3 linked regions of the Xenopus tropicalis genome follow. The protein of the gene in region 3 interacts with the protein of the main gene of each other region in a pairwise test. Links are inferred from orthologs where the notes say so. Each region holds a gene or a part of one and is shown on either strand. Other genes may lie near its edges. The genes, in order: ppp1r3d, ppp1r3c.1 and epm2a.

Evidence for each region.
Region 1: the proteins of epm2a (region 3) and ppp1r3d interact in a two-hybrid assay, tested with the Homo sapiens proteins (2 studies listed by BioGRID, with this or other methods). The link is inferred for Xenopus tropicalis from reciprocal best matches to the Homo sapiens genes EPM2A and PPP1R3D.
Region 2: the proteins of epm2a (region 3) and ppp1r3c.1 interact in binary tests that used the Homo sapiens proteins (3 or more experiments, as listed by UniProt). The link is inferred for Xenopus tropicalis from reciprocal best matches to the Homo sapiens genes EPM2A and PPP1R3C.

What each region holds. Positions count from the first base shown.
Region 1 is NC_030686.2:3,513,411-3,517,025, forward strand, and holds ppp1r3d (protein phosphatase 1 regulatory subunit 3D), read right to left. Parts: upstream 2,209-3,615; 5' UTR 1,790-2,208; coding exon 902-1,789; 3' UTR 588-901; downstream 1-587. Other genes in the region: protein FAM217B, read left to right, coding at 3,066-3,068. UniProt on the Homo sapiens protein: Seems to act as a glycogen-targeting subunit for PP1. PP1 is essential for cell division, and participates in the regulation of glycogen metabolism, muscle contractility and protein synthesis.
Region 2 is NC_030683.2:37,168,116-37,172,225, forward strand, and holds the start of ppp1r3c.1 (protein phosphatase 1 regulatory subunit 3C), read right to left. Parts: upstream 2,841-4,110; 5' UTR 2,832-2,840; coding exon 1,890-2,831; 3' UTR 1-1,889.
Region 3 is NC_030681.2:45,974,529-45,978,710, reverse strand, and holds the start of epm2a (laforin), read left to right. Parts: upstream 1-1,294; 5' UTR 1,295-1,392; intron 1,393-4,182. UniProt on the Homo sapiens protein: Plays an important role in preventing glycogen hyperphosphorylation and the formation of insoluble aggregates, via its activity as glycogen phosphatase, and by promoting the ubiquitination of proteins involved in glycogen metabolism via its interaction with the E3 ubiquitin ligase NHLRC1/malin.

The sequences.
Region 1 (3,615 bases), on a different chromosome or scaffold from region 3:
GGTTAGCCTCCAGTATAAGAGTTGTTAGCCTCCAGTATAACAGGGGTTAGCCTCCAGTATAACAGGGGTTAGCCTCCAGTATAACAGGGGTTAGCCTCCAGTATAACAGGGGTTAGCCTCCAGTATAACAGGAGTTAGTCTCCAGTATAACAGGAGTTAGCCTCCAGTATAACAGGGGTTAGCCTCCAGTATAACAGGGGTTAGCCTCCAGTATAACAGGGGTTAGCCTCCAGTATAACAGGAGTTAGTCTCCAGTATAACAGGGGTTAGCCTCCAGTATAACAGGGGTTAGCATCCAGTATAACAGGGGTTAGCCTCCAGTATAACAGGGGTTAGTCTCCAGTATAACAGTGGTTAGCCTCCAGTATAATAGTGGTTAGCCTCCAGTATAACAGGGGTTAGCCTCCCAGTATAACAGGGGTTAGCCTCCTAGTATAACAGGGGTTGCCCTAATGGAAGATGTAGATTAAAAAAAAAAATGTAAAAAGGGACGCCACAAGTTTTTGATATTATGTTCAGCCTGCAAGCTCCCAGCATCAGTCAATCAACTGCTGATGGGATGCTGGGGGTTGCAGTCAACAGAATGAACATCCCCAAGCAGATTAGAACCCATTTTTTACTTCCCCCCATTTGCCTTGAAAGATCAAGGGCTGTGGGCCATACATGATTGGTTTATATAATTTTCCCCCCATTCTTCCAGTAATTCAAGAGTCCACCCCTTACTCCAGGCCTGTGGCCTAGGACTACATGTAACTTGCCCCTTTGGCATTAAACACCAATGCCTCTTTCACGTCTAGTTTCCAGCCATACCTTACTGAGTGTATTAAGGTTTCCCTGACCCCCCCATAGAATATCTCGTTTGCTTTTGCATCAGTAGGAACAGCATGGCGGTGCCGCCGGATCAGATGAAGTGAATCCAGCTCTGCTCGCTGTCCTTTGGCATTCGGAGAGTGTGGCTCCTGTATGTGAAGGTGTAGTTCTTGCCCTGGTTGTTATCCCAGTACTCCTTGCCGGCGACCTGATATCTGATGGCAAACTGTATCACGGAGCAAATGTGCTGGAGGAAAGGGGGTATAGGAATGGTGAAAGTGAATACGTCCCAGCTGCTTTCCTCTGCGCTCTTCTGCCACACTGCCTTTGCCTCGTAATAGTTTTTCCAGTTGGTGAACGAATACCTGACCGAAAGGTCCTTCTCAAAGGCCAAATTGACGACCCAGACGGTGCCGGAGATGCCCTTCTCGTCCGAACTCGCCACTCGCTCCAAGCACACGCACTCTTGCTGCAGCCGATCCAAGAAATCGCCCCTGTCTTTCGGCTGCTGGAAATCAGGTTCCAGGTACTGGATGGAGACTTGTAGCTCTTGGCTGCAGCACAGGTCTGAGTTGATGGAGAGCCTGGAGAGGACATGCAGCGGGATGGATGGATCATCTGCGGAACTGAAGACTTTAACCTCTGCCAACTCCAGACCGAGAGAGTCGGCAAACCTGACTTTGTGGCATTTGGGCTGGCATTTTATGGCACGCTTCCTTTCTGGGGAACTAGGCAGAGATTTGGTTCTCCGCCGCATAATAGGTCTCAGTTCTGGATCGCAGCCGGTGCTCTGGGCTCGAGGAAGCCGATTTGCCCCTTCGGCGGCCCGTATGAATTTTGTACCTGGTCCCCCAAATGCCTCTGCCAGCTGTGCATTCTGGTACAGATTATTAATGTAACTCAGGCTGCGAGGGATGCTGAGCTCCACTTTCTGCTTATAGCTCTGGGGCATTATGAATGGGGGGAGCTTGTAAGACATGTTTGTATAGGACGACTCTCTGATTGCACACAGCACTCCTGCTTTTCAATGGCTTGCCTGCAGCAGCTTCATTTGCCAGGTTTGACTTCACAGAACTCCAAAGCCTCCCTAATCTCTCATTAGCAAAGCAGGAAGACGGACGCACCTTTTTATAATCCCAGGGTCACCAACAGGAGTCCATGGGAGGCACTGCTGCCAGGGGCATTCTTCTGGCGCTGCCTTTCACCACTCCCATCTTGCACTGCAAGCAGAACAATCAGAACCTGTGCCCCAGCCTGGCACAAGCAATCATGTGGGCGATTGGGTGACATTGTTGCACAGTGCTATAATTGCAGCAAGCTTACAGATGCATGTCGCAGCGAGAGCCACAGCTTCCCCCACTCTGCCCTTTGCCTGTGTCTGTGTGTGTAAAGCCAATACAAAAGGGTTTCCTCTGCTGTCATTCGTTGTCAGCAGGGACCAGAACGCCCATTCTTGTGATTGGCCAAGACTCCACTCACTCATTCAGTTCTGCACTTGCCCTTTGTTGACAAGGCAGCAGCAGTGTTGTAGAGAGAGGAAACACCAGTGTGTGTGTGTGTTCCATAGGAATCAAGTGCAGTCGTGTCAGAAGCTGATACATTGTTTTTATTGAAGAAGCTGATATATTTTATTAAATGTAGTGCAGTGATCACTACATCAGTGTGAGTGGCATAAAACACTCAAGGAACGGAGACTGGCACGCCATGGGTTTCATCCCTGAAGGGGATTAATGGTTTGGACTGTCTGTTTTTCCATCAACAGCAGCTGCACGTACACGTATGCCTATGCCTTTTGACATTTAAATCTATTTATGGCAGCTGTCCGCAGCTACTTTCATGCTATAAATGAAAATGGTAACAGGATTACATGGAGCAACGGTGCCTTTAGCCTGGGAGTTGTGACCCATGATGCTTTGCAGCGGCCATGCCAATCCAGTACCTGCGAGGATGGACAGGAGGAGCCAACCCTTCTATTTACTCCCATCACATCAAATTTCACCAGTGACATCAAGAGAAATAGTGTCAGGGTGACTGTAGCCAACGGAGACGGCCAGGGGAGCAGTATTAAAGCTGCCGATAGAGCAGCCTCTGTATTCATCTTGGAACAGGCATTGTAAAGGCAATGGGGAGAGGAGGTGCCATTCCAGCTTATAAATAGGAACGAGCCAATGGGATAATGTCTCATCTCTAGGAGGATTTCCAGCGTTTGCCTCGCCACGTTTTACAACGAGAAAGACCATGAAAACAACACAGTTATGGTAATGTAAGGAATTGGGGTCTTGTTTCTGTGCCAGTGTGTATTCTTCTAAATAAGATTGTGCCATTCCCCTGCAGCGCTGGGACATTCATTCATTCATTCACCGCTTCAGGCTGGGTATAAATACGCACTTTTTCTCATGAAAGCCGAGGCTGAAGCAATTACCCCATCTAAACATTCTGTTGTTGTGCATTTAGCTAGGGCAGTATAATTACTATATAATTACTGAAGGTAAATACAGAGCCTGCTGCAGTATTTGCTTATGTACATCCTTATTTTACTATAATGAGAAAGGTACCTGGAAACCTTGTGTAGTTTTACCTTCCCTACTGCATCAGGCTGCATAATGTACACGGCTGGACACTACAATAGCCCAAATATTGACATTTTATCTTTGTAAGCTCATCATACACGGAAGGCTCTTTTTGATGCTGCTGGATGATTTACTTGGCTTATTTAGACACCCACAAGGTTGGCAAAGTCTAAAGCCGGCCATACATGCATTGATTTTATCGTAGGAAACCTAGTTTTGTACAATTTTCCAAACT
Region 2 (4,110 bases), on a different chromosome or scaffold from region 3:
TTAATCTTTATCAGTTTTAAAAAGCATCACAGTTCATTTCACAGTCAAGAACGCTGCTCATTTTTTTCATTCTGACACCAAAAAACAATATTGTCAGCTTACGAAGGTACTGTACATCAAAAAATACACATTTAAGCCAGTTACAAAATAGAAAAATACACTGCTCAGCTATTTCATGTAAAAAGTGCAAGAGTTTCTATTGAGAGAAAAAGGAAGAATAGAGAAAATAAAACATAATTCTCTGCGCCATAAAGGTATTTCATAAAAAGCTGTCATTACTCTTCAGAAGGAAAATAAGGTTTGACTATCTGATGTGCAAAAATATCGACTACAATCATTTCATCCTTTAAGGAACCTACAATTCTATCAAATACCAAATTCACATATAAAGGTGCAAAAGCGATTTGCGTTACCTTCAATATGAAGGAAATTGAATTTTCTGACTTCTGTAATTATCTCAAAAAACATAGAAGACAGGGAATATTACAGATTGCTTACAAACAAGTGCATTTTTTTTTACAGGGCAGGGAGAATGAGGGTATTATTATCCTGAAAGGTTGCTCCTTATTTACACATAACACTAAAATGTTGGACATCTGGTAATCTTCCAATATAATACATCCTTTGTTTTAGGTTTGCCAGAGCCCAGTGGGCCAGAGTGGACAGATGCATTGCATGGCACTATGTTGTACACACCTCTAGCATCAAGTGGGATCAAGAGTGGGAAGGGAAATAGTTCAGAAATTGACAATATATAAGGGATGTAGTGTAACTATGCAGTTTGGTTTTGCAGTTTACTAAATGGCACAGCATTGCTACTGACTATTTTATATTCAGGAAACCTACAATTCTGTATTAAAGGGGTTTTTGGCAATCTTTTAGAAAAGGCACTTTTTACAACATCAAAGCAGATTTGTTGGGATAGCTTAAAGCAACATTGCAGGGCCCTCCCTTACCAAAAAAAGTGCACTGGATTGGTTAGTGCATTTAGACTTTCTGTACTCTTGCCTCCAATGCAAAATTATTCATTCTTTAGTCACATCCATAAAAATTTTGATAGGGATGTCCAAAGTGTGATACATTGGTTGCTGTTGTATTATTTAGTGGAAATTATAGTATAACAACAGCTACAAGGATACCAGTTGCACATCTCTGAGCCACCTTGTATGATCTTACATTATTTAAACTGAGTCTGTGAAAGGTTTTAAAAGTCCAGCTTTTAAAATGAAACCTAACACTACTTTCCGAAGTGTATGGTGCGTTTCGCGCTTACTGGCAGGTCACTAGAAATACATGATAGCAACTCAAACATCATTATGTAAGTATTGCATTGACAGTCTCTTTGTATTTTCAGCTTTTCAACCTTCAGGGGTTGTATCGTTAGCCATTTCGTACCATAAATTCATCCTAAAACACATATCTGCAAAACTCCTTAGGGTGTCTAAGTATTTACTTATAATAGATATACCATGACCTGGATGAATGAAAATCTTCATTGTCATATCCTTAGGGTGTCCTGAATTCTATCCGATGCCCTCTTTGTAAGAACTATCCTCATATGGGTTACTACAAGCTGCTGTGTTTATAGCTCATCATATTAGCCTTACACAAATGTATATTCTGTGTATATGACTAACGCCAGAGATTCAGCTGGCATCAGCACTGAGCGCTCTATTTCTATGGTGGACAAAGGCAGTACATATGGTGTTTTGACAACGTGCTTGTGAAAAGCGTACTGTCCTAAGCTATGGCTGTGAACATATAGCTATCAGCTTTCCTTACACTGTTACTTTATTTGAAGAATTTCATTTGTTTGTTTGCAAATGATGTCTCATCAGCACCGAGATGTCTCGATGAGAATGAATAAAGCAGAACATCAACAATGTTCTTCACCAGTAAGGTGATCCTCCTATTTTACCCCAACTTTGCCATTCGGGGTACAGACCAGCAGATGTTCTGGGGCTGCCAAACTGATCAAAGTCATTGTTTTGTGGTTTCTTCTTATAGTCATATGATGCAATCTCTGTTTTAGTTGGGGTAGGTGTGTGCACACCATCTGATTTCCATTCTGCACGTGTCACTGAGTAGTTCAGTCCATCATTGTTGTCCCAGAAGACCTGCCCTTCACTTTCATAGGATATACAAAATTCGATTTTCTCATGACTGGGAATGTTGGGGGGTATGTCAATGACGAAGGAAAATGTGTCACTGTCAGTGCTTCCATAGACGTTGTTCATGTAGACACAATCAACATCTACAAATGATTTCCAGGTGTTGAAGGTGATACGAATCTTGACAGATTTCTTGTAGCTCAGGTTTTTTACTTTGACAGTACCTGCAACAGATCTTTCCTGAAGGCTGCAATTTTCTAGGCAGACTAAACTCTTCTGAAGGCGATTGCGAAACTGCAGATAATCAGCTGAAGGCTGAGTGAATCCCAGTATCAAGTTCTTCTCTTCATGCAGCTTTAAACTGGCTGTTATATCTTCTAGGTCTATCAGGTCAAACTGAAGATCTAATGAAGATTCATCCTTAAACTCTGAGAAGACATGCACCGAAGTTAAGGAAAGTCCTTTGGAATCAGCAAAGATGACCTTCTTTTTGTTTCTAGACTTTGAGCGGTTCCACTCGTTGCTCCTGAAATCAGATTCCTTTTTCAGACTGAGGCATGGTCTTAGTGGCTTATATCGGTTCACAAAATTTCTTCCCCTGCAATCAGGGGGACTGAGAAATTTTTTTAGCGGTGGAGAATGTGCTAGGCATATCCTAACTGCCACATCTACAGGCATTATGGATCGTGGGAGAGAGCGGGGTTCCAAAATCTGTATCATTCTGTAAAGAGATAAAACCCATAGATAAAATTATGTTTTTGGTCTACAATGTGCACATACTCACAAACATTTAAGAATATATTGTCTGAGCTACCCATTTAAAACTATTCTGTAATGAAACCATGAACTGCGTCACATAAAAAGGAATATCTGCCTAGAGGAGATAATAGATGCGTTGCAGTGCCCCCTTATGGTCTTTAATTGTCAAAATAAAAAACGTCTCATTGTATGCAAAGTTATTTATTTTAAAACAGTCAGTTGTATATTATGGTATTGAAGTCTACATCATTAGTATCAATATTTCTATTAATATTGATAGCCTGTCATGACTTAATAACATGTACAATCATTAAATAATGCTGTGACTTATTACTGTAAAATAAGCTTGAAATTACATTACATTACATTAACATTTATTTATAAAGCGCCAACATATTCCGCAGCGCTGTACAATAAGTGGGTTACATACATTGGACATACAGAGTAACATATAAAGCAATCAATAACCGATACAAGAGGTGAAGAGGGCCCTGCCCAAAAGAGCTTACAATAAGATACTGTCTACTTTAAATCCTTATAAATAAATTCTTTGACATGCTTGCTGGGATAAATGACTCTCAGTCCTGCAAATTATTTGTGTATCTTGAACTCAAAGAACCTACATGTCCATGGAAATAATTTATATACATATCATTTTAACCTTCAACAAACTCAGTACAGAAGAACCTTCAAGTATAATGGTATATATTTCAGAAATCTTTCAACTCTTTAAACACATCAATTCGACTATATCAAGGGATGGCACTTGACCATATATCTCAGACATCACTGTATTCTGCTCATTCCCTACAAAGGCTAAGTTTTACCCATTGTGCTGCACTTTGCAGGTTCTGTAGTAGAACAGAAATCACAGAAAGCCCCCATGCAACTTTGTCTGATAGTTCTGCTTGCAGCAGACTGAGCTGCCCACATTAAAAAGTGTGTGGTTAATGCTAAACTACAAATCCCAGCAGCTCTAGAAAAGACCTTATGCATAGATGCAGGAGACAAGCTGGCAATTTCTAGTATATATAAAGCTTAAAACCACTGATACAGAATTGGGGTCAGTAAGAACCATAATCCCTTTACCATCAATCATACAAATGGACTTCAGTGTATGCAATCACTATTAAACGTAAAATATACATGCATTAGGCATTTCCCTTTGCATTATTACACTTTTTATATTTAATTATAAACCATGGTACAGTCAGTGCATAAGAAAGTCTGATAAACACAC
Region 3 (4,182 bases):
ATTTTAATCGTTTATACTCTCTACTTAAGCAGTCCCCTAGTTATATATTTATGTAAGTTGCAACTTTATGGGCTTTGCCAATAAATTGGTTTCCTGCAAACATGGCACCTAGTTATTGTATACCAGAACACTTGAAAATTCAGAGCTGTGTCTAAAAAATCCAGCCAAATATACTGTCCTGATAGCAATTTAACTTACATGCGATCAGTGCAGCCCTGCAACATGCATTTAGTAGACGTATCAGCACAGGCAAATGCGGATATAAACACGTGTAAGCATTAGGGTTGTCAACACCAACAAGCTGGGCTTGAAGCAGCACCCTTCAGATAGTTGCTATCCTTTATAGCTTGTTGCTCTAACCCTGAGCTCCGAAGGGATCACTTTTTACAGCTGTCTCAGAGAGGCTTCTAACTGTGCCTTAAATCCCACTGTGGAACGCACATCCGTCTTAGATTTTTTACTTGAGCCAGGCAGAGAGATAAGCAGCATGGGAGCAGCAGGCAAGCCTGTCTAGGGTTGCCACCTTTGCCGGGTGATAAACTCGGATAAAGGGAGTGTGCGTGATGACATTGGCATCTTGTGGAGCCAATATCACCATGTTATGACGTTTTTGGTAGCATGATGATGTCCACCGTACACAAACTGGAGGACTTCCACCCAGTTTTCAGAATGTTGCAAACAGGGCAGAAGGCATTTGACCCAGACAACCCCTTGAAAAAGCAGGCTGTCGGGTCAAAGCCAGAAAGATGGTTGAAGGGCCCCATAGGTTTAGGGTCCAAATCAGCAGTGTAAATCTGCCTGTGTCTGGCCATCTTTAGAGCCCCCAATGAGTGACAAACAGTTATTTCACTGATTTTTTTTTCTTTTTAATAGTAGTAAAGTACTTTCATGTAGATGAAAAAACAATCCTTATGTTTACTTAACATAAAAGGAATGGTTCTCCAAATTATGAAAAGTTCCCAAACCCCCAGGTCCCAAGCATCCTGGATAATAGATCCTACACCTATACCATAATTCAGCAGCAGTTACACTACAACTGAAGGCCCCACATATTTAGCATTTCTCTGGCAATAGTTTTTTCTTTAATTCAGTGTATCACAGTGTTCCTGTCTTAATAAAGCTTTTAGAAAAAAAAATCCTCACACAATCTGATGCCATAGGTTTTGTAGAAAAATGCAGTTGCTGCTATTTAGTTTTCAGTAAAAGCAGGTTAAGGGAACCCTTGTCCTGCTTGCGTTATTTTAAGCTGCAGATTCTGCCCTCCCTGTCTGCATCACAGAGAAGGAGGGATTAACGACTGCACAGATCTGTAATTCAGTAATGCAGACAGTGCCTTGGAAGGCTATACAAGGACGGGCAATCCTCAAGGCCTTACTAGATCTGCACACTAAGGTGAGGTTGTATTGCAGGATTTTATTCTTTCAAACTGCAACAATGAAATAATGTCTGATACAGATTAACAACACATCTATTAAGTACAGTTATAATCATTCAGAAATATACAAGGTAATAAGCTTTTGTTGCCCCCTCTTTCCTTTGACATATACTTTTGGCACACTTGTTAAAATGCATTCTGCAGATTGCAGACAAATGAGTGCAGTATCTTAATTATGGCTACTAGTCAAGTGGAAAGTATATGGTTTTATAGAGGTAAGCTTGCAACTCTAGTATTAATTGTATTGTCATTATACCTTGTTCAATAATGTCAAAACACAATTTAGAGCTATATTATTGAACTTACCTGAACCAGCCACCATTAACCATGAAACTAGCTAGCCCCTGGCATCAGAAAAAGATATGAAAAAAACATAATGTGGCTCTGAACAAATTCAGCACAATCCACTTTAATGAACTTTTCATAGGGTTCTAGGGTAAAGACACATGGAGCTACTTAGTAGCAGCTACTTGTCATGGCTACATAATGCCAGAAAATACCCTGCCATAGACAATACTGAGAATTGCCTCTGCTAAAACACATATAGAGACAATTATCAGTAAATTATCAGCATTGTCTTTTGTAGCCATAACATGTAGCTGCCACAAGTAGCTATGTGTGTCCTCACCCTTATGGTGGCCAATTGCATTACAATTATTATCTTGGTCGCAGCAAAATCATTTGTAGACTACACTAAAGCTCAGAGCTGAATCGTCAGATATGCAGGTAGAAACAAAACAATTCTACCCCCATCTTATGATTCAGTATTAAACGTTTGCCGGTTCTCAGATGTCTTCAATGGCCAGATTGACGAGATGACCGATATCCAAGGCCTTTGCCGATACCAGTCGCCTCATCTTGTCACTTACCGATTATCGTACGGTCGTGTGTATGGCCACCTTTACTTTAAAATATAACATTGTCATGTATGCATTTAATTCCCTGGGGCTCTCTGGGCCACACACAGTCAACAGTTTCCCCATTCACATTCCCTTCTTTTTACTAATACTGTTCCCCGCTCTCCACCCTACTTGTGTCCGCTGTGTAGCATGGAATAATTGCTCAGTCAGTTTCCAGAGATATCAACTAACATGTCATAGGGTGTTAGAATTATACAGATTTACAAATACTTTCTCAGGAGACGCTATTAATACATTTCTTGCACTGGTAATGCTAAAGTTGGCAGGCAGGAAAATGCAATTCCCTGTAATGCATGTGCAGTGCAGTAGAGAACTTGAGTAAGGAGGCCTTAGGGCTCTGGCACACGGGGAGATTAGTTGGCAGTGACAAATCTCCCTGTTCGCGGGCGACTAATCTTCCCGAAATACCATCCCACCGGCGAAAATGTAAATCGCCGGTGGGATGGCATTTCGGGGAGATTTGTAATCTCCCAGTGTGCCAGAGCCCTTAGTGAATCCTTGCTAATAAATAAGCTGCTGCATAGCCACAGAATAGCCATTCAAACTGGAGAAAAGGCACAAGTTACATAACAGATAAGCTCTATAGGATGGGAATCTACACAGTTTATCTGTTATCTGCTATGTAACCAGTGCCTTTTCTCTTTTTTTTTTAATTTGAATAGCTACTCCTCTTGACTACACAGCTGTTTTATTTATATAAACTACGGTAGTATTTCTGAAATCGGTGTGTTTGCTTCAAAAAGACTACTATAGTATATATATAAATCAGCTGCCATGGGGGCAACCATTTCTAGGAAAAAAAGGCTCAGGATACATCAGATATGCTATGCAGAATATAATGGTGTTCTACAAAACCTATCTGTTATCTGCTATATATCTGTGACATTTAGCCCTATTTCAGTTGCCTCCATTGCTGCATAGAAGATTTTTTTATAAACTATGGTAGTTTTTTGGAAGCAAACAGATCAGTTTTATCAGTGCAGGGCAACAGTACATTATATTTCAATTACTTTGCAACACTTTTTTATGTTGCTGTTACTTGTTAATGAAGGATTTGCCAGATCCCATGTAGTATAAAGAGGTAGCGCAGAGTGGGTAGACAGCTGGTGTTGTGTTCCACTGAAGAGTAGTAAAGCAAAGACCCATAGGCTGCCTTTTGGCAATTTGTACAACATTTAAGGTCACCAGAGTTTAGTAAGAGGCCCTAAGTTATACAAACAAGAAATGTCCCGGGTTCATTTGGAATGCAACCTTAACTGGAGATAGCTGTTGTTTTAATTTAGTTCATTGTTTTGTAGAGCGTATAGTGTCAAAGTTATTTTATATGCCATTGGAGATCTTTTTTTTTAAAAGATTTAAAAGGATATTGAGATATCCCAGGTTTAACAGGAGTGTCTCCATCCCATTAAAGGAACAGTAACACCAAAAGTAACACCAAAAGTGTTTTAAAGTAATTAAATATAATTTACTGTTACCCTGCACTGGTAAAACTAGTGTGTTTGCTCCAGGAACACTACTATTGTTTATAAAAGGCACAAGTTATATAGCAGATAACAGATAAGACACCATTGTATTCTACAGGGTTTATCTGTTATCTGCTATGTAACCTGTGCCTTTTCTCCTTTTGAATGGCTGCCCCCATGGCTACACACCAGGGTTTTTATATAAACTCTAGTAGTGTTTCTGAAGCAAACACACAACTTTAACCAGTTGAGGGCAGCAGTATATTATAGTTTAATTTCTTTAATCCATTTTCATTTTTTGGTGTTACTGTTCCTTTAATAAGGTAAGCTGGATGACATGCAGGTTGTGGTTGCATTTCATTTT